Notamacropus eugenii: one gene and its partners. The protein of the gene in region 2 interacts with the protein of the main gene of each other region in a pairwise test. Links are inferred from orthologs where the notes say so. Each region holds a gene or a part of one and is shown on either strand. Other genes may lie near its edges.

What was found.
Region 1: the proteins of PRKCI (region 2) and PARD6B interact in binary tests that used the Homo sapiens proteins (3 or more experiments, as listed by UniProt). The link is inferred for Notamacropus eugenii from reciprocal best matches to the Homo sapiens genes PRKCI and PARD6B.
Region 3: the proteins of PRKCI (region 2) and PARD6G interact in binary tests that used the Homo sapiens proteins (3 or more experiments, as listed by UniProt). The link is inferred for Notamacropus eugenii from reciprocal best matches to the Homo sapiens genes PRKCI and PARD6G.

The regions. Positions count from the first base shown.
Region 1 is NC_092872.1:516,101,011-516,108,028, forward strand, and holds the start of PARD6B (partitioning defective 6 homolog beta), read right to left. Parts: upstream 3,048-7,018; 5' UTR 2,490-3,047; coding exon 2,424-2,489; intron 1-2,423. UniProt on the Homo sapiens protein: Adapter protein involved in asymmetrical cell division and cell polarization processes. Probably involved in formation of epithelial tight junctions.
Region 2 is NC_092877.1:353,921,631-353,929,009, reverse strand, and holds the start of PRKCI (protein kinase C iota type), read left to right. Parts: upstream 1-4,379; 5' UTR 4,380-4,412; coding exon 4,413-4,555; intron 4,556-7,379.
Region 3 is NC_092875.1:199,840,247-199,847,904, reverse strand, and holds the start of PARD6G (partitioning defective 6 homolog gamma), read right to left. Parts: upstream 3,081-7,658; 5' UTR 2,755-3,080; coding exon 2,683-2,754; intron 1-2,682. UniProt on the Homo sapiens protein: Adapter protein involved in asymmetrical cell division and cell polarization processes. May play a role in the formation of epithelial tight junctions. The PARD6-PARD3 complex links GTP-bound Rho small GTPases to atypical protein kinase C proteins.

The DNA of each region.
Region 1 (7,018 bases), on a different chromosome or scaffold from region 2:
ATAATTAAGTAAATCTGCTACAGAAAAAAAAAATACATTTCAACTTCAAAGAATACCCTTGCTTAATGGGAAGAAATAGATATCTTCTCCCCTACATTTTAAGGGTCATTCTGAGCCAAGTAATAATATTGATTCCTACGAAATCAACTTTTATCATGATTATGGCCATGGTACATTAAAATTCAATGCCATTAGACAAAACCTGTATAGTAAAACACGACAGAGAACAGTTGTTTAAAATTTAATATATTTATATGAAAATAGAAAAAAAAAAGGCATGGCTACCATTTTTATCATTTTAAAAGTAAATCTGTCCAAGTTCCAGAAAATACCTTAGAAACAATTCAGTTTCACCATTCAAAACAATTTTACTGACAAAAATTTACTTAAAACTTAATATGAACACAGAAATTGTATTGATGCTTTGCCTATCTACTTACCATAAGCTAAGAGAATAACAGCAGGCTCTATATACATATAGCTCTTTACAGCTTAAAAAACTTTCCTAAGAATATGTATCTCAAATTGAGCTTTTCCAATGGCTGTATAAAAAGGAAATGTTTATAAAAACTTTAACATTTCAAATATGCCATTTAAACGGTTTAACTGCAACTACAAACGTGTGAGAATTTTAAATCAACTGGTAGAAAAACAGAAAATCTCTTAAAGTACAATCCTATGAGATACATTATTTCAACATGCATTTTAGGACCCCTATGCAAGGCACCATAACAAATGCTCATAATTGTGGGGTCTAAAACAATTTAAAATTTTCCAATATTAAAGAGAGAATATTTAGATTGAGTATTAATTCATTTTTAAAAAGTTAAAACCAACTGGCTAAGTAGAAGTTAATGCCTATTTCTGAGACCGGACCATACCTGAGAATTTGTCAACCTAAGCTCCCACAAAACCAAATCTGGTGATAGAACTGCAGAAAGGCATCTCAATCATCTTTGTATGGACTCGTTACTGTTATAGCATTATCCAAATTTATTTTTAATCATATTACTGTCATGCCAACAAATTCAATTTGCAATGAGAATTCCATGAAGGATGAAGAGAGAGTATGTTCTTTAAAATCCAAGTCTAAAGTTTGATTTGATGACTACATTTATGCTGATTAAATAGTGCATACAGTTTCAAACCAAACTCTACAACACACACACACACGGAATGGAGTTTCAAATGTTAACTTTTAAAAACAAGGCAAATGTGGATATCCTCGATCTCATTTTAAAGATCAAAAACTTGTAAATACACGGTCATCATCCCCTGAAGAAGACTGCATTTCTTCTTCTATGTATCCTTTAAGAAACTTCTCCCCAGTACCTTCATTCCACGGATCACTACTCTCACTCGGCAAACCGTCGATACTCAGGAATTCAATTATGCAATATTATGTTGCATTTGATACATTACTTTGTATCTACTTTGTAGCTATTTTCACGGCGCTTTCCATGCTTTGGATTCCCCTACAGCAAACTTCTGATAGGCATTACATCTCCCAAAGCCTAAAGCGGAATACGGTAGTTTTCTCACAAACTATGTGATCTTCTGCAGGTCTCTGAGCTTCAGACTCCAGAGTGTAGGTGGGGTGGGAGAGAAGAGGTTGAACAAGGTCTACATGGTTCCATCCAGTTAATATTAGCTGAATTCAAGGAAAGGTTTATTGGGATTGAACTGTCTCTTATGCATGTCTCCTCCTCCAAATTCACAGTTAAAAATCAATCTCATTTAAGAAAGCCTTTCCCACCAAACCTCTGATCACACTTTTAATAGATGGTTTTCAGTGACATCAGTGATAAACCCACTACTCAGGTTCAGTCGACATCTTAATTAACTAGTTTCATGGCTCATACGCTGGCTTGTAAATAGTTAAATAATTTCACGTTTTAAGTGTTTGGGTTTTGTTTCTTGGGTGTTCTCAACAGACCAAAGTTCTGCTGTGAAGCATTAGTGAAATTTTAAAATTCTGTTGTGATGAGTTAATACTCTCAAAGAGTAAACAGATGACAATACCAGTTAAGAGACAGGACCTCATTTTGCTACGATAGGAAGCAGATCGAATTTGAAGTCCATTTCCTACTCCCCGGCCGGTGAGCGGGGGCACGGCGAGGTGGACTCAGCCCAAGAACCCAAGCCCAATCAAGTTCTCCCCTTCCATCTGCCTCTTTCACTCGGGCGTGATCCCCTCCTTCCTACTCTCACCTGCGGGTTACGAGCTGGGGGAGGGGAGCGGAGGGGAGGAATGCTGGTCAAGCTCCGGCGAACAATACTAGATCCTCGCCAGTCTGCCGGGGCAGGGCAGGGGCAGGCGGGCCCTCCAGGTTCCTCCCCGAGTTCTCAGCCCCGGCGCCGGGCCATCACCCCCGCCCTCTCCCCAGTCTTGCTCCCGCAGACTCCCGGGGCCCCGCACCCACCTTGCTCTTCACCTCCATGGTGCCCAGGCAGCCGCTGCCCGCGCCGTGCCGGGGAGTCCGGTTCATGGTGAGCGCGGGGGGGAGGGGCGGGCCGTCTGCCCCAGGCGGCCTCCTCTCCCGGGGCGAGGGGGCGACGGAGAAAGAGCGCCTCCGGCCTGCGCCGCCCGGTTGGGGGCGCGGACGCGGCTCAGGAGATTCGAGCGGGAGGAGGGGGCGGCCGCGAGCGCTCAGCCTCGTCCTCAGCGGGCGCGACCTCGCGCGTGCCCCTCACGCACCTGCAGTTATCCGGGTGTGGGGGGCGGGGAGTCGCCACGACTGCGGTGCGCGCGCTCACCTGCCGGCCCCGACTCCGGAGGCCCAGGAGAAGCCGAACGACTGACTCCTCCCGCCCGCCCAGGGGCCAGAGCCGCGGTACACAGCCGAGAAGCTCTCCTAGTTGACTGGAATGAAGAGGAAGGGAAGGAAAGGAAAAAAGAGGGAAGGGGAACGTCACGCGCCCCTCCCACCCCAGCGCCCGCCTAGAGACGCCCGGGGGAGCACCTGAAGAGCGGGGGCGGTCTCCACCCCTTCCCCATCCAACCCCTCCTTACACCGCTGTTAAGCAGGGAAGTAGAGCGCATGCGTGGCCGCTGGAGTTTCCGCTGCAGAAGCTGGAGAACGGGGGAGGGGCGGGGGTCTGTGCCGGAAGCGAGAGCGCACCTGGAGGCGCCAGCCCTCGGGCCGTTCTCCCCTCCCCCCTCCCCGCCCCCGAGGCTGCGGGGGCGCGCTCCTGGCCTCCTCCGGGCTGGGGTTCTGGGACGTGGGCGAGTGAGCACCTGCGGTGGAGGGAGGCGCTTAACGCCTTGGAAAGCGCTGTAGAAGTGTCACCTGTTACCCATGGAGAGAGCCGGAGCCTCGGCTTCCGCGGGACGGCCAGGGCGAGAGCTGGGCCCCCGAGCGCTGGGGCCGAGCCGTCGAGTCTCCACACCCCAGCCGCCTCCCGTTTAATTGGAGGCGTCATTTATGACGACCGCTCCCCTTTTGGAGGAACTTGAAAATGAATGCCCCCTGGTATTTAATGGTTCACAGGTTACCGCGGCCAAATAACTCATCCTCTGGGCATGAGCCTTTGCCCGCCTTGCCGGTAGGCTGCTCCTGGGGTGGCACACGCGCAGTTGGTCGCAGGGCCTTCGTATTTGACAGGCCTGGAAGACCCTCGCTACCTGAGTTTAGACTTTTCGCCTAAATTTTGAGCCGCTCCCCGTTGCTAACACGCTGTGTTTTTCCTCCCAGTCCCTCCTCAGTCAGTTCCCTTCCTGGTGCTTTAAAATGCTGTCTTAGCACCTTTAGATATTCGTCACTCCGACCACCAACCCCGACCTGCACTTTTCTAGACTGGACCATCCGGGCCATGTTCTTTGGGTTCAGAAATGTCCGCTATCTTCTAAGTTTCCCTGGTAGAAATAGAACCTATTTTTCACCAACAAATTAACCCTTATCTGTCATCCTGGAGGGGAGAGAAAACCGGAGACTTCTAGAAATGTTTCCCAAAGGGCAAGTTCCCAAACTCCAGAAAGAAGTCCCAGGGTCATTTGTACTTGGACCAACAAATTCTCATGTGAGGTTTATTAAAGATGACTGTGGAGTGGAAAGAATGCCAAACTTGAAATTATGGAAACTAGGTTCATACTCTAACTTTAATTATGTGCTATCTGTGACCTTGGACAAGTTACTTTGCATTTTTAAGACTCAATTTTCTCATCTGTAAAATGGGAATAATCCTATCTTATGGGAGAAAATGTTGCATAAGCATTAAGTCTTAAAAAGTTGCAGAAATGTTAGTTATCATTACTGTGTGCAAAGAACAGTACTAGGAAATACCAAATTTAGCTAAGAGTGTGTCCTTCCTAAATAGTGTTTACGGTTTTGTACCTTGGTGGGAGGGATAAGCCATAAACTGGTATAGCAGAGATTCACCATATTCCTAGTTAAGTGTTTTGGAAAAAAGGATAAAACAAAGATAAATTGCTTTATCTGGGTACTTCCTTAGTTTCAGGTGAGTTATTCCATCGGTCCTGCAGGATAGCAAGATCTTCTAGGTTAGGGACTCCACCTTACCTGGAGGGGAATAAGAAGGGAATTTGCCCCTTGACCTTTTTCACTCTTTCTGCTAACCAGTGAGAAAGTTTCAAAAGAACAGCTCGAACAGCTTTGTGATTTCCCTTAGTTTAAAGAGGTCTAGAGGAGAACTCATAATTTAAAACCACTTGATTTTATATTTCCTACAGCTAGGCTCTTGGGACCTCTGTGTTGTTGTTTAGTTGTGTCCAACTTTTCATGACCCCATTTGGGGTTTTCTTGGCAAAAGTTATGGGAGTGAGGCAAATGGGGTTAAGTGATTTACAAGGGTGACATAGGTAGTAAGTGTCTGAGGCTCGATTTGAACTCAGAAAGATGTCTTCCTGACTCAAGACGTGGGCTGTATCTACTGTGCATCCAGCTGTCCTAGCTGCTCTGTACCTTTAGCCTTAAAATGAGGGCCTTAAAATGAGGGTTGAACTGGATGATCTTTAAGGGTCCTCCCTTCCAGTTCTAAATCTGTTCTAACCTTGTAAGGTGGATTTTTTTCCTTGGATCTCTGAAGTACAAGTATTATTATCATTTTTGAGATAACTCTTAAAAGGTTCTTGGGAGGGGCTCTACATTCCTAAGGGAGGAGGGAAGTATTTGGATCTCTTAAGAAAATTCTTCCACAGCATTTCTGCTTGCCTAGAGGTCTCCTACCACTGCTCTTCAGAGCTTAGGAGAGGAAGTGAGCTGGAGCCCACATAAGTAATTAAAGACCCTGGTTTATGACCTGCTCTTCTCACCTAAATATAAATAGGATTTGTTTCATTCTTTGTATGTTTATCTCATGTACCTGGCACTCTACCTGGCATATTTAGGGACATAATAAAAGCTTATTGATTTATTGATTCATTGATTTGGGGCTGGGGTATGGAGACATTTGGGCTTCTTAGAAATACTACTCATTTGGCCTGGTAACTTGGGAAATGCATACTGGTTTTGTAGAAGCCCACCTATTTCCCTCTCAAAATATACCCTTAAGCCAACAGATCCAGGAGAAAGAGTCTTTTGAGAAAGCCTGTCCAGAAAGTATGGATGGTGGTTTATAACTGTGTTTCAGAACCTCATGTTATCAATACTGATTTATCAGAGTTCTCCTAACAGGAATGTACATAAGCCAGCCTCGTGTGGGCATTGCATTCCTGAAGGTGTTGTCATGCCCCCTCAGGGTGTGGTTTCCCTTACATGGACTTTCCTTTCTAGATGCAAGGGTAAGGCTTATGCTTCCTGGTTCTCCAAAGAGGAATTCACTGAAAGGCTTGCATCACTGTGTAATTAGAGGTGTAAAAAAATAGTTTAAATTTGATAAAGGGGAGGAGGGACCATCCCCTTCCAGGTCCTTTTCCTATTACAGATTCAGCCTGTGATTCAGCCTTTCCCAAGCTATTCAAAGCTCTTGAAGTTATGAGACTGACACTAATCTACCTTCATCCAACCCTCCCCCAAATCCCCATTCACCTCTACAGTAGAAATCTTATATCCTGTTCTTCATTAGAGTACAGCTATTGCATAGTAGGTACTCATTTCATCTGAATGAGTGAATGAGGTCAGAGAGAGACTTACCCTTAGTGAATTTTAAATCAATTCAACAAATATTTATTAAGGATCCTATTTCTGGGTCCTCCACAAGGACAAGATGCAAAATAATCCCTGACCTTAAGGAATTTACATTCTACCAGGAGATATTACAGTTATACAAATAAGTAAATGTAATATAATTTCTGATACCACTCAGCTCCACTAAAATTATTCGGTTTAAGGCATACTGCCAGTCTTTTATCTGCTAAATCTCAAGGTATTAGTCCTCGTCTTTCTGCAGCTTTTGAAACACTTAACCTTCTCTTCCTGCATATTCTCCCTTCCTTGGGTCTGCAAGAGATTTCCACTCTCTTCTAGTTTTCCTGCTTGTCTGAAGTTTCTCTCTCAGTCTCCTTCACTAGATCATCATTCATCATATCCTGCTCCCCATGTGTGGGGCCAATTATCACCTATACGCAGAGACTTCCAAATCTGCATATCCAACCCTCTTTTCTCTCTAGGGAAACCCTTCCCTAGCCAACTAGCTGCCAGAATAAATCAGTGAAAAAGCATTTATTAAGCACTTAGCTTGTGTGAAGCACTGGATATGCAATTAAAAAAATTAGACGAAACAGTTCCTGCCCTCAAGAAGCTAAAGCAAGGTTCTAACCCACCACCCTGGACTTAGGGATGATGAGCGTGGTCATCAGTTAATTAAATGATACACCCTAACTTGGAATAGTAGAATTGAGTGATTTTTGTCCCAAGAGATGGAGATGGAAAATGGGCTAGGTTATGTTGAGGGAGGAAAAGGGCGGGATACCATTAAGATGGTGCATCTGGATAAGCTAGATACGGTAAACTCTCACCAATGATTAGAAGCCCCTGGATCAGGGCAGGACCTGGAGTGACTGAGGAGAGGTGTTTCCTGGAGCATATCTATAAGCATCTCAAACACAAAGTCCAAAATA
Region 2 (7,379 bases):
GCACCCGGTGTGGGGATCGTAAGTGTGGGCAGAGACCTGGAATGTTACCATGTGAGGTGCTGAGGGCTTCCTTTTTTTATCACTCTTGATCCCCTGTGCCTGGCAGTACAGGAGATGGGCTTGGGGGTGTCTGGAGGATCTTGGCCTTCTCTGCTCTCCACCTGGACCCTCAAGGAGCGCCTCATGGCTGGGTCTGCTGTAGGCTGTAAGGCCCTTGAAGGTCAGCTCGCTCTTCTGTCCTCAGCATCAGAGTGCCCGTTGGCTGGACTGGCCATGGCCTGCTTGTCAAGGTGGCTGGGGTGGGCTGGCTCAGGGGGTGCTGAGTCTCTCAAGGGGGCCTGGGTGGGGTTCCCCTACTGCATGGGCAGGAATAGGCCTTGCTTTGGGCTGGCATGTGGCAGGAGTTTCAAATGAAGACTTTGAGTCTGGCTTGCTTTCCCTTGGGTCTAGGCTGCAGGACCAATTTAGACTGTGGTAAGCTGAAGTGGGCATGCCTGAAGTCATACCCAACAAAAGGAAAAGCCACCAAGTTACGCACGTGGACTTTACCTGAGGACGGCCATAATAAGTTCATTACCTGTTTGGGGCTGCCAGGGATTTCTGAATGGTTGAGTGAATGATGCGATCTCCCCAGATTTAGGAGGGATTTGTTGAGAATGGTTATTTGGGGAGCCCCTCCCTGGTGTTGCTGGCTTTCCAAGAACTTGGTTTTAGGATGAGAGCCCTGCCAGGTGAGAAGAAAACCATCCCACACCTCCTGGCACTGAAGGTAATTCCGTGGGGCTTTTCTTATCTCATCACCTTAGCTAATGTTGGCCCATCTCCCCTAGGGGAAAAGAGTTCAGCCGTGATACTTGATTAAAGAATGTTGTAACTTTAGGAACTTTTCTTCTCCCCCAAATTGAAGACTTCCAGTTCAGTTGAACAGCTTTCACTTGGTCGTTGTTTTGTGAGGTGCCTGCCCTTGTGGCTGCTGTTCACTGCTGAGACCAGCTTGGGGGTTTTCCAAACAAACACCTTTACCAGTGTGCTTGTTGCTTATTTATCCAGGCAGAAGTCAGTGGCTTAAAAAAAAAAAAGGTTGACTGTACAGTGTGTACATTCCGGAATGGATCAGTGAGGATTGTGAATGGGGAACCTGTAAGAGGGAGGTCCTAGTTGCCTGCCACCTCCCTCCTCTGTATTCCAACAAAATCGAGTCCCCACAAATGATTCTTAATGAAATGTTTGGACTTTTTGTTTGTGTGGTTTTGTGAATTCTTACCTTTGGAGTTGTAGCTTCATCTTAGGACTCGTAGTAGCTTAAGATCACATTGAACAGTTCACATGTACACAGACAGAGAAAGCATTACATGCCTTGGCTAAATGTGTGGGTGTTATTTAATGGGCTCTTATTCTTAGGGGAGTTCATGGGATTTTGAGATTTTGCAGCCAGCCATGACTCCCACAGAGCACTGTGGGAAAAACATTTTGTGTGTACGTTTGTCTGAAATGAGACATTGATTTTAAATGTTTTTATTTAATAACCAGATTTACTAAATTCTAGTTTATTTTGAAAGAAACAGAGGTGACTGTGCTTAACAACCTAGGTTGGAATTAAGATCCCTTGTTTCTCTCACCATCAAGGTCAGGAAGGGAGACGCTCATCTGTTCAGGAATGTCTTTGTAAATTCCAAAGCGTGATGACCAATAGGAAGTGTTACTGTTGGCCTGTGGTTTCAGTTTTTTAGGTAAGCTTTCCCCTCCACTTTAAAAAGGGTGACTTTTGCTAAGGTGAGCCAGGAATCTTTCTGACCACAATCACTTTGATCCTTCTTCAGCTGTGATAGAGAGCCATGGTTGAAGCGTCACTCCTGTACTTAAACATTCTCTCAATTGGTCATTTCTCTGCTTCCTGTCCTGAAATCAGACTTAATGAGGACTCTATCTTTATTAGCAATATACCCAGCCAGAGGTTGTACTGTTGAAACGACAATGAGTCACTGAAGGAGCAGGTTACTAAACAGGTTGTCTAACTAGGACACCTTTGACTTGATTTTCATATTTTAAAGAATTCTCTTTACCAGAAGACATTTCCCCCAAGCATGACTGATATCCTCATTCTGAGAGATCAGTGGGTCAGTTGCACCCCAAGGCCCCCCTCTACCCCTCAAGCTGTGTTTCTTTGTAGCAGCTGGGATCATTTTGTAAAAAAAAAAAAAAATGACTCACCACTCTTTTTCCCCAGGAAGAGGACCTTCAAGTTCCTTTAAACTTGATCTTTATGAAAATGTGCCTTCTCCAGATAAAGAAACTTAAACCACACACTTAATTTGATTACTTGTTCTAGTATTTAAATAGGAGATTGGCTTTTTCCTTGTCTTTTTTTTACACACACGGGAGCTTTTCCTTGGATTTCCTTAGTCATTACTTTGTTCGTTTACAGAAGTAGAATAAAAAGTTCTGTTGGTTAGTGAGAGATTAACATCATATAAGCTTTTTTATGGTGAGCTTTGCTTTAGTGGGGCAGGACTTACCAGTAAAATAGTGAGGGAACCAGGTAGATTGCATCACAAAATATACAGGGGGTTTTACAAACATGTTTTCCAAAATTACATTTCTCAGAGTACTCTATACTGAGCAGTCATAATTTTAAAGATTTTCCTGCCTATACCAGCATTGTACAATTAGGAAAACATTGTTGAATAGCTGTGTTTGAAATTGGCCTTGCAAGGAAATATGTAGAATTTTTCTCATATTTGCAAGTCTTGACAAGACTGTTTTTTGTTGGTACATTTGTTTTCTGACTACTTTAGTAACGGCATTAATGGGCAGAGGTCATGTGTCTGATTGGGCTCTCACTGGCCCATTTGGGCCATCTTCTTTTCTCTGTCACCCCTCTGGGAGATCTTCTCACTTACTGAGGTTTTAGGGGGTTATCTCTAGAGTTGACTGTAAGCACTGGGAGTCCAAGGGCATCTAGCCTTCCCTCTCTTCCTTTATTACTCTGCTTCAAGGTCTATTCCGTGAGCATCTCAGCCATCTGTATGCAGGTTAACAGCCTCCTCCACCCCCCCCAGTCTCCTTGACTTGGCTGAACTCTCTCTGCCTTGGGTGAGCTGCTCCGACAGCGGTGCCTGGCTTGTCCATGACATTGCTTCCCATTTCTTGAAATTACACTATATTGCTTTTTATATATTTTTGGACCGCATGACCTAGGGCCAGAAGCTAAACCCTCCAGCAACCCAAGTGATGGACTCAAGAAAGAAGGTGCCACAAGTCTGGTTAAAAAAAAAAGTGTCCATGCTCCCCTCCCTTTTCCCTCCTGGTAGAATGTCCACTCCTTGAGGCCAAGGATTTGATTTTGTATCTCCAGGACCTGCCACAGTGCCTTGTCCATAGGTTCTTAATGTTTGTGATGTTAAAAGAACACATCCAGCACTTAGCACAGTTCCTGGCACATGAGCAGGGGCTTAACAACTATTTATGGATTGATGGCTGTGTCTCCAATACAGAAAGGCCCAGGTAGCCATTGCAGAGTGAGTAAGAAAGGCCCTTGCCAAAGCCTGTTCATTTTTTAGCATCACAATTTTCTGTTGTATCTCATCCTCAGCGAGACCCTCCTGAGGACTTAACCCCCAGGATTCTTATCTAATCTTTGTATCTTTTCCAGAAACTAACTCAGGGCTGCGACAAAAGAGAAATGCTTAATAGATGTTTATTGAATTGGATTTACAAACCCTTTTCCAAGCCGGTAATTACGAGAAGGGAGGGAGAGTCCTCTACAGACAAGCCCAGTGACAGCCGAGGAGTAGATGGGAAAAAACAAACAACGCACAGGGCAGAGACGTGGGACTAACGGTAGAGTGGCCTATAAGGCTTAGAAACAAAAGCTAGAATGTCATTAAATGGACTCCTTCCCACCAAACGGCTTTTCAAAAAAGTGACCTGTGGCCTTCAGAATCCCAGGGTGTTGCTGAAGGAAGATCCAGTATGAACATGAAGATATCATGAAAGCATCCCCCTGCCCCCCCATCAGAGATGTGTATTGGGTAACTCTCCCATGCTTCTGCTGGTTTGTCCAGTGGCATCTCTGCTTTTTGCTGCCTCTTCCCGTGGCCATTCCAGTGTCCTACTCTATGTCCTCGCCTCCCAGGGCCTCTCATCCCTCACTGTGCCTCCTGCTGTGGAGGAGCCTCGCTGAGCCTGCTGGTGATCCCCAGAGGTCTGTGGGGATCCTGTAATCACAGACCCCCTGAGGCCAGCCTGCTGCCCTCAGAGCATGCTTCATTCTCTACGAGGCAGCCTTAGAGATGGGGAGTGTTGACACCTCCCTGCCAGACCAAGGTTCGTTCAAGACTAGAGGAACAAAGTAAGACCTGACTTCCTCTTACTGCTGACAGGGCTGGTTCTCAGCAGAGCCACACCAATCAATGAACGTGGATTCAGCACTTAACGGGCCCTGGGCTCCTCCATGTCCCTGCCCTTCAAGGACTTATACCTTGTCATCTGACATGTACAGAATCAGTAAGTGCATCCCAGGGTGCCTCCTGCCTGGATGGGTGGTGACCGTCAGGTAGGTATTCCAGCAGAACTCCTAACCAGCTGTCTGCCTCCCACCCTGCATGGTGGTACCACTTGCCTTTGGGATGATGATGTAGGATTTTGAGCTGGAAGGAGCCTGAAGAGGTAACTTGAGTGCAGGTCCATTTCACAGGTGAGAAAACTGAGCCACTCCTGGCATCTGTCAAGTCCCAACTCAGTTCTGCTGTTCTAGTAGAAGCCTTTCCCAATCCCCTTAATTCCAGCTCATCTGTCTGATGATTTCTAGTTTATCTTGTATATATTTTTTGTTTCCCCCGTTAGACTGGGAGCTCCTAGGGCAGGGGCTGTCTTTTGCCTTTCTTGCTACCCCCAGTGCTTAGCTCTGACACACAGTAGGTGTTTAATAAATGCTTCTTGACTGAAATGACTGGCCTTGGGAAGCAGCAGAGAGGGGATTCCCACCCAAGGCCTCAGCCTCCAATTGCCCCTGTGCCATGGTGCTTTGTGAATGTTGAGGCAATCCAGCAAGACTGACTCTGGAAAGCATGGGGAATAGGCCTGGACCTGTGATTTCATCAGTGTCTGGAACTCTCAGAGAACATTCCCTCCCCAGTCCGGACGGGCCTCTTCATGTCTTAGAATTGTCTGGCACACAGAGCCTGTGAGTGGAAGGTGTGGACTAGACCCTGGCTCTGGCCAGCTCGCGCTCTCTCTCTCTCTCTCTCTCTCTCTCTCTCTCTCTCTCTCTCTCTCTCTCTCTCTCTCTCTCTCTCTCTCTCTCTATCTCTCTGCCTTGGCTTGCTGCCTTCTTGACCTGTAGTTGCTTAAACCAGACAAGGGGCCCTTTAACTTGCACTTTTCCTCAACTGGCACGATGTTTGTATTGGACACATTTATCTTGGGTGTGGGAGCTTTCTTTGAAGACAGGAAGTTCAAGACCAAGTACAGATTTTGAAGTTGTTTTTTTTTTTAAAGTTGAGAGGAGTTTAAGACAATGAAGAGCTGGCCTGGGTTTCAGTCCTGCCTCAAATACAGAAGGGCAGGTTTATCCTGGGCGAGTGCTGACAATTCTCCGAGCTCAAAAGTTTTGAGAAGGTGCCAGTCTTCATTGGTGGAGGGACTTTGCTCACCTGGAATTCTCTTCCCTCCTGTAATTGGTGGCACAGGAGTAGAGGAGTCATGGGTCATGGGTCATGGAAGCTTGCCCTTGAGGATACTCAGATGGAACCTTGAAGGAAGTTGGTGGATGGGGGAGGGTGTTTTTCTTTTCTTTCTACTATTGACATTAAGATTTATTTTTTTTCAACGTAATAGTACTTTATTTTTTCCAATGTCAAGAGAGTTCTCAGCGTTCACTTTTATAAGATTTTGAAATTTTTTTCTCTCTCCCCTTTCCCCAAGATGGCAAGCAATCTGATTGTAGGCTATACGTTTCAGATCACAGTAAGTTTATTTTGACATTAGTCATGTTGTGAAAGAAGAATCAGGACAAAAGGGAAAAACCACAAGAAAGAAAAAAGAGAAAATAGAATGCTTCTCTCAGCATTCGGATTCCATAGTTCTTCTTCTGCATGTGGATGGCATTTTCTATCATGAGTCTTTTGGAATTGTCTTAGATCTTTGCATTGCTAAGCAGAGCTAAGTCTATCAAAGACAGTTATTTCACAGTGTGGCTGTTAGGTATACAATGCTCTCCTGGTTCTGCTCACTTCACTCAGCGTCTGTTTGTGTCAGTCTTTCCAGGTTTTTCTGAGATCTGCCTGCTCATCATTTCTTACAGCATAGTAGTATTCCATTACACTCTAGTACCACAGGTTGTTCAGCCATTCCCCAGTTGATAGGCATCCCAAGAGGGTATGATTTTCACACATGAGGCCCCCCCCCCCCCCTTCCCCAATAAGGTGGGAAATGGGAGATTGAATGTCCTGGGGAACAACAAAGAAGCTAGTTTGACCAGAAGTAACTCTCAAGCCCATCAGCCCCTGGAGCTGGTGGTTGGGCTTGTGTCTAAGGACTGTCCATTTCTCCTCTGTGTGGAGGAGAATCTGGAGGCAGGTAGACCACCTGGGGGACTACAGGCCCATTGTCCTGATGAACATTTGTAAAACATCTTACAGTCATCATCCCATTTGGAAAATGAGGGGACTTGAAGCTGAGGTATGACTGTTAGTGAAGAAGGTCTTATGAAAGGAGGCCTGACACTTGACTTGCCAGCTGATGGGTTAGTGGGGGTGAGGGAGAGGGAAGCAGTGAGTTTGAACTTAGGGGACTGATGCCCTCAACTGAAGACAATGATGGTTTTTTGGGGGACAGATAAGGAGTTCTATTAGGTTGTGGTGAGTTTGAGAATGCTTGCCATTGGGCAAGTCCCATAACAGTTAATTAGTGATGCTCTGGAGCTCGAGAGAGATCAGATGTGGGTGGCTCCCAACCATGGGAGCTGAAGAGGTCGATCAAGTCAACCAACAAGCATTGATTAAATGCTTACTGTGTGCTGGATCTCTAAGAGAGAAAGGAGAAGAGGCCCTGGGGTTTACTCACCCACAAGGGTCTTTAAGGCCTGGACTTCAAATAGCCCTAATGCTCAGGCAGCCCTTACACATCTCAGGGGTTAGGGGCATAGGCCCCCCCTCCCCCATCTGGAAAATCCACCTAAAAGCTTTTGGTCCTCCTTTTGTGCCAGAAAAGAAGTATTTTGGCTTTGCGGATTTCCTTCTCTTTTGTCTTGATATCATACAAAACTATACATATATTTTATGTGCTTCTTAGTTTCTAAATTTTTCTGTCTTGTCTGCTGGCTTTTGGTACGTCATCTGGGGCTTCTGCAAAACTCCCCCAAATATCCCATTTGATTT
Region 3 (7,658 bases), on a different chromosome or scaffold from region 2:
TGGTGCCAGGTTGTGGAAGACCTCAGATGCTGAGCTTACATGTTTCATCATGCAAACTACTCAGCAACCAACAAGAAGATACTACAGGATTTTGGCCAGAGGAGTGCCATGAAGAGCTTTATGCCTTAGGAAGGATGGACTGACAGAGGAGGGAAGATAAGGAAGGAATACTTGTTAAGCTATTGCAACAGTTCAGGTTGGTGGTAAGGAAGACCTGTACCAGGATGGTGGTGGTAGGAACAGAAAAGAATGGTCAAATGTAAGAGATACTGCTGAGGCACAATTGATAAGAGCTGGTAACTGAGAGGCCAAGGAGAGGAAGGAGTAGGAGATAACAGCAAGATTTCTAAGGTGGGAGTCCAGGTGAACAGTGGTATCAATGACGAAAAGTGACATCAGAAAGTTTAGGGGACAGATAAACAGTTCAGTTTTAAACCCATTGAGTTCCAAGTGCTGGCAAGAAAACCTGGTAAAGGTGTCCTGTAGGTGATGCAGATGTGTTTCTAGAGCATGATAGAAGTGAGAGCTGATGACAGAGTTCTGTCATCTGTACAGAGATGATAGCTAAAGCTACTTCAAGGGATGGGGCAAATCACCACCCAGTAGTGGGGAACCTGCAGTCTCAAAGTCACACATGACCCTCTAGGTCCTCAAATGTGGCCTACTGAATCCAAACTTCACAAAACAAATCCCTTTAATAACTCTTCTCTGCTTGGTAATAAAGCCTTAGCTTCCAAGGAATCCTGCAGGTTATTTGTTTTAGGAGTAAGCAAAGGGACAGGTTACTTCTGATTGGATGAATGGCTCTTGCTCAGGTCCCTGAGAAGTCAGCACCCACTCACCTACCTTCAAGAAACCAAAGGATTTTAAACTGTATTGTTTGTAATGTGCCTCCACTTAACTCAGCACAGGCTTGGTAGATTTCATGTGGATACTTCCAAAAGAGGTGGAAGAGGGGGGAATGACAGAATCTGCAGTTTGCTTTAAAGGGGGGTTGGAGAAGATTACATCCAGCTTCCTCCTGACCATCTTGCTTCTACAGCAGAATGAAAGAGAATAAGTATGTAGTGCCTGTTACAGAATGTCTAACGTTTGTCTACCTCCTGCCGTTCTGGAATTCGGGAGCGGGCCCCGGGCTCTTCTTTCACCCTCTGAAGATGTGAATTGAATCTTGGGGGGGAAGCAGGTTCAAGACTCTCTCGTATCTAGATCTAGTTCTAACACTATGAACACCTAAAGTGCTGGCCTTGTCGTCCCAGCCAAGGGTTCTCCACTCTTCCTCGCCCCTGGGCCCCCTGCAGCACGTACTGCTAGCGAATCCCGGCCGGCCAAAGCAGTAGTGACCTGACGGGTTTACAATCCCGCGGGCGCCCCACGACGTGGGGAAGCTTCGACAGTTTCGGCTGGTTTCCAGGAATAACAGAGAAGTCGCGAATGCAATAGTCTCCAAAGACGCAGAGAAGCAAACCTTCAATGTACCTCACTGCCTTCCCCTACCCCCACCCACAAAGAGCCTCGGGTCCAGAGGAGCCCGCACAGTCTCTCCAGGAGATAATGACCCGACACAGACAAGCGCGTCTGCAGATGAAAGCAAGGAAGGGAAGAGAACCTTCCCCCACAGAAGAGAGAATTGGGCAGATCATATCAGACGATTACACACACACACATCAGACGATTACACTTACACACACACACACACACACACACACACACACACACAACAAACAAGTTTAAACAAGCTCTCAGAAGCAAACGAGCTGGGCTCAGTGCAGGCAGGCAGGCGAGACTGACTCACTAGTTAGGATCCGCCAGAAGCCTTCAGTAAACTGCCCCAGCCAGGGGCACAAACAGCTAGCGGGGGTGGGGGGCAGAGAAGAAAGAAGGGAGCCAGCAGGGCAGACTTGGGAGGGGAGATGGAGAGGGGAAAAGTGAGGGGGTATCTGGATTCCTTCTTTTTGGAAACATTTCTCCCCTTGGAGCTTATAGGAGGGGGTCCTTCCCGTCCCCGACCCCCAAATCTTCCATCCATTGATCCTAATCCCCAATAAGCCCTCAGACTGTCAGTCCAACCCCCAAAACGATGGTTAGCCCAAGAAATGCCGCCCTCCTCTCTAGCCTCCGCGTCTCGGGTTGCTTCTCAGTCCGACTAAACAAAAGAGCAAATTTAAATTGAGTGGGTCGGCAGCAGTAACATTTTTTCCATAGTTTCCCTGCCCTACGGACGCGCTCAGATCTAACGGGAATCTCCCCCCAGTTGCAAATCCAAGCTTTTAACTCCACAAGGAAGACAGTGGATAGACAGGGAATCTACGAGCCTGGCTGGTTGCACTGTGGCTGCTGAAATCTGAGAGCAGCGAACCCCAAACACAGGCTTACACTGCAACAAAACTTCTCCCTCGCTCTCTGGGTTGCAGAGGGGGGACCCTCAGTCCCCATTGCGGTTTGCAGGAGAGGTCGCACATTCCTCGGATTCCCCAGCACAACCCCGGAGGAGAAAAAGGTGGACCTGTTACTTGATCTCAGAAACATCAAAAGAGCGCAAAAAAAGTTGTCACTAATAATTCTCTCGCCTCCCACTTTTCTAAAGTCACAAAACGCCAAAGAATCTCCATTCATTTGCAAGGGGGAAAGAGGGAGAGAGGGCTGAAACAGGACTGGGGGCTGGCATTCAGCCTTGCTTACCTTACTCTTGACTTCCACTGCGTTGCAATCGAAAAACCGCAGACTCTGAGATTTATTAAAACTCCGATTCATTTTTTCGGTCCCGGTTATCTCTCTTCTTCGCCCTTGTTCCACAAGGGCTGCAAAAAGCTGATCCGTATGTGGGAAAAGCGCCCCCCTCCCCCGCCTGTGGCTGGTCCCCCGACTGCAGGCGATTTGATCTTTCTTTGGAACGCCGCAGCCCCGAGAGAAGTCTCCACTTCGCCCCAGCGCTCTGACTGGAACGCCCGCCTCAGTCTCTCCGTTCTCCCCAGGCTCGGGTAGGTAAAAATCGCCCCAACAGGGCTCGCAGCGCGCCGTGACTCAATGGGAAGAGAAGCGAGGAGGGCAGACGCCTGCACGTATTGCTCCGCCTCACTGGAGAACCCGCCCCCTTTTTCTCCTCCCCTTCATCATTCCATTTCCCTGGAGTCGGGAAGCTGGCTGCTGCGGCTGCTGCCCATGCCGCTGCCTTAGCAGGCTCGTCACCGGCAGAGGACGCGCGCTCTGTTGTCAGCAGTTCAGCGGCGAAATTCCTGAACCCGAGGCAAAGCCACACAAAGCTCGGGAAACTGCAAGCCGGGTTTTCTGGCCAGTGAAATGTGCACCGCACCGTGGAACACCTACCCCGGCCAAGCTTCCCGGCTTCAGCGACCCGCGAGATCGAGGGTCTGCTCGGCCTTTGTTTCCTTTCATCCACCATCCCTTCTAAAGAAGTATTACTATTTTTGTTTTGGTTTTTTGGGGTGGGTTTTTTGGGTTTGTTTTTTGTTTTTCCTGCTCCCTTGGGTATTTATTTAAGCTAAGCATAGCAATGAAAACCACAAGGGGAAAAAGAAAAGGAGAAAAATGCATTCCCTATTTAAAAATTTTTTAACTTGGAAAGTCAAGAATAGATAAAATCGCGGGGGACGGGGGCAGAGTGGGAGGGGGAGTGAAATATCTTCGGATGGTCTACAGAAATGTCATTGTTCCTTTCTGGCTCAGGCCCCGAATACTAAACAAATTCCATTCAAGAAGTCTTGGGGGGGGGGGGGGGTTCGAAAACCTCCCCGAGAATGGATTACTGTGAGAGTTTTACCTCTGCCGAGCTCCCAACCCCTATCCGCTTGAGGAGGGTGGGGGGGGAGACACACAATATGCCTCGGTAGCAGAACCTGGATAGATATGCTTCAGACCTGGATTCAGGAAGACCTGAGTTAAAATTCGACCTCAGACACTAGCTTTGAGACCCTGAACAAGTCACTTAACCCTGTTTGCCTCAGTTTCCTCATCTGTAAAATGAGCTGGAGAAGGAACTAGCAAATCATTCCAGAATCTTCCAATGATAATAATAATTACTAACATTAACATCATGATTGAAGGTTTGTAAAAAATGCTTTACAGATATTTAATCTTTACAACAACTGATCCCATTTTAGAGATGAGGAAACTAAGGGTAAGAGACATCAAAGGACTTGCTCAGGGTCACACAGCTAGTAGGGATCTGAGGCAGAAGTTGAATTCAGGTCTTCCTTGTTCCAAGTATGGCAGTCTATCCTCTATGCCGCCTATTTGCCTGCCTACTCAACTGAGCTCAGAGGCCACTTCTATGAAATCTTTCCACCTCCCCAGTGGTTAGCCAGGATTATTAGCTGGTAAATCTGGCTTTCCAAAAGAAATGTACACATGACACACTTTTAAATTTAATCTGCCTCATTAACATTTTCTTCCTCATTTAAACTCTAGACAATTAGAAAAAATAAGTCAAGCCTTGATAGGTAGGATTTGCAGATTTTCAAGATGCTTTCCTCAGTGAGTTAGAACTGGCTCTAGCATACCCCTGGGTCCTCCCCTGTAATATTAATATAAGATTCATGGGGGGGAAAGGGAGGAAGAGTTAAGATCTTTCCTGCCTATTAATAGGCCTCAATGCCTTTTGTTAATTTCTGTTGAGGCGCTCGGTCACAAGGGTCCTGCCCTCCAGCTCTGAAAAGTGTATAAATACTCTGAGGTGAGGTTTTTACACTGGAGCATACTTGTTAGAAGTGTTTGGCCAGATGAACCTTTGGGCAGCTGATAAGGAGAACCCTACCCCCCCTCCCCTTTGCAAACCCGGGTGTTGGTGCTTCTCTCTCTGGTAACTATGTATGTATGTAATGGTCAGACAGTTGGATCTGTCTGTTGATCTATGATGTATATATTTGTTACGGTCAGACAGTTGGAAGCCCTGTCTGTTGGTCTTTATTTCTCTGCTTGTATTTTCTCCGTTGGTATATGTGTTTGATTAAAGTGATTGTTGACCCCTCAAAAGTTGCTTTCCTTTTATAAAAGCAGATCTAAAAACCTGTACAACAGGCCCACCTGTGTATGCCAGGGCCCTTGCTATTACATCCCCCTCTTCTAATTACTCCACATTGATTCATTAGTGTACTTGTAACTCCCAGTAACATGCAAGTTCCTTGAGCACAAGGATTATTTTCTTTTTCCTTTTTGTATTCTCAGAGATGTATGGGGAATTCAGGGAGGACTAGCACTATAGTGTGAGGGCTTGCCAAGGCCTTTTCAAAGTTACTCATCCACCTTTGGTGTCTACCTGTCACCCAACTATCATTTGTGGCTCCAAGAAGTTGTAGCATGTGCACTGGCCACATCTCAGCAAAACTGTCTCAGGAGACAGACTAAACTAAGTTGAGGGGAACCAATGGTCTCAAACCTGTTGTTGAATTGGGAGGGGGGAGGGGTTGTATGGGGAGTGTCTACCCCAGGCATGTGAAGACTTCCCTGGTGACAGATGAGAACACTTTGTTCTAAGGGTCATGAAAGTGGTTGAAGCAGGTGCTATGAAGTACTTAGAGCTTGGTTAGACACTGAAGACACCAAGGTCACCCACTGCAGCCCTGGCTATCCAAGAAAAGTTAAAAGGGGAGAGGAGAGCCCTCCTACAACCCAATACCCTGCCCTCCGTATCCATCCTACACTGCTCCCTCCCCTCTCTATTTTGTGTGCTTCTAATCAAGGCAAAGGGAATTTGGGCAAACAAATATGGCCCCACATTTCTAGCCCTTCCCTTTGGTTTCATTTTTTTGTCTGCCGAGGTCACCCACTGCACCCTGGACCATTGCCAGTTGTCTTGACTTGTCTTAGTACTGGACTTTGATAAGTCTGAAAGAGAGAGTGAGGCAGATGACTTTGGGCAACTCTGCCTCACTTAAGTCCAGTTCAGGTGCAAGTCAAGACATCACCCCATGATGTCATCAGTACTCTTTAAAACACAGGATAAATAACATCCTGAGCCCAGAGTTCAGTTGAATTGGCCTCCAATTGACATTGACTTAAAAGGCAACTGAAGAAATCATCTAGTCAAACCACTTTGTTTAAAGATAAGGAGAAATGAAGCCTCTGAGAAGAATTTTGATGTGGTCAAGGATACACAGGCAGTAAGCTACACTGAGGCTCTGACTCAAGGATTGTACTTCCAAGTTTAGGCCTCTTTCCACTATATCACTACATTGTCAAGATAAAGAAATGAAGTCCAAGCAGGAAAACATCAGCAATAAACTTGTAGGTTCAGTCAGTCAGTCAGTATCTACTAAGTGCCTCTTATGTGTGAGGTACAGTGCTAAACACAATATATAGAAAGAGAAGAGGGTTTTTTTTTTTTCAGGAGTTTTGGATTTGGGAGAGGAAAGATTTAGAGCTTCTCTGAAATCTCTGCTCCACAAAAAAGCTCAGCGCCTAGGGCAAAACCGGAGAGACAGCTCTGAACATAAATGTTAGTGATAAAAGATTTTCTTTCTATACAAGGAAAATGACAATAACTTCTTCAATACTTTAAACATTTATTTTTTTGTTTTTCAGCAAAGACCCACCCTCCACTGATGAAGCTCACCATGCTGTCCGTAGCCTTCATGGTAGCTATGCTGGAATTTATTAAGGCAAGTCCTTGAACAAAAGATATGCCTATTACTGTCCAGGATTTATTATGGACTTTAGTACGCCTTGAAATCCTTCTGCTTTCCAGTTTCCCCAAGTGTTGAATTCTTCCATTAGAGGAGAAGCTCTTTAAAGGAAAGGACTGTCTTTCTTTCAGCTAGTGATGCTAATCCTAACAATTAACCCTGTGCCTAGCTCTAACTCACTAATTACAAAATGTTTTCCCCAAAATAACCTTGTAAACTAAGAAGTGCATCTACTATTGTCTTAGGATCATAGATTTAGAGCTACCAGGTACTTTAGAGGTCAAGTCCAACACCGTTATTTGAGAGAGACAGAGACAGAGATAGGCAAAGACAGAGACAGAGAGATAGAGACAGAGTGAGATATTAAGTTGCTCAGTGGTATCCAACTCTTCCCATGGACCATAGCACACCAGGACCTTCTGTCCTGCACTATCTTTTGAAGTTTGTCCAAGTTCATGTTTGTTGTTTCTGTGTATACATCTTATCCTCTTCTGTTCCCTTTTTCTTTAATATTTCCCAACATTGGGGTCTTTTCCAATAACTACCATCTCATTCCAATAACTGCCACAGTATTTAAGCTTCAGCTTCAGTATTTGACCTTCCAGTGAACAGCCTGAATTAATTTATATAAGTACTGGCTGATTTGACCTCCTTCCTGTCCAAGAGATTCTCAAAAGTCTTTTCTAACACCACAATTCGAAAACATCAGTTCTGTGGTGGTCAGCTTTCCTTATAGTCCAACTCTCACAGCCGTGTTCTCATCTGACAGCCATGTTTTCTTCTGAAAAAAAACCATGGCTTTGACTATATGTTGGCAAGGTGATATCTCTGCTTTTTAGAAAGAGATAGCATTAATTAAGTGTTTTCTATGTGCCAGGCCTATTCAAAGCACTGAGGATAAAAGTACAAGCAGCAAGACAGTTCTTATCCCTAGGAAGCTTACTTTCTAATGGGGGGGGTGTCACTTAAAAGAAGGATGGTTGTGAGCAAGATAAGGCTTTGAAATCTCATCCATTA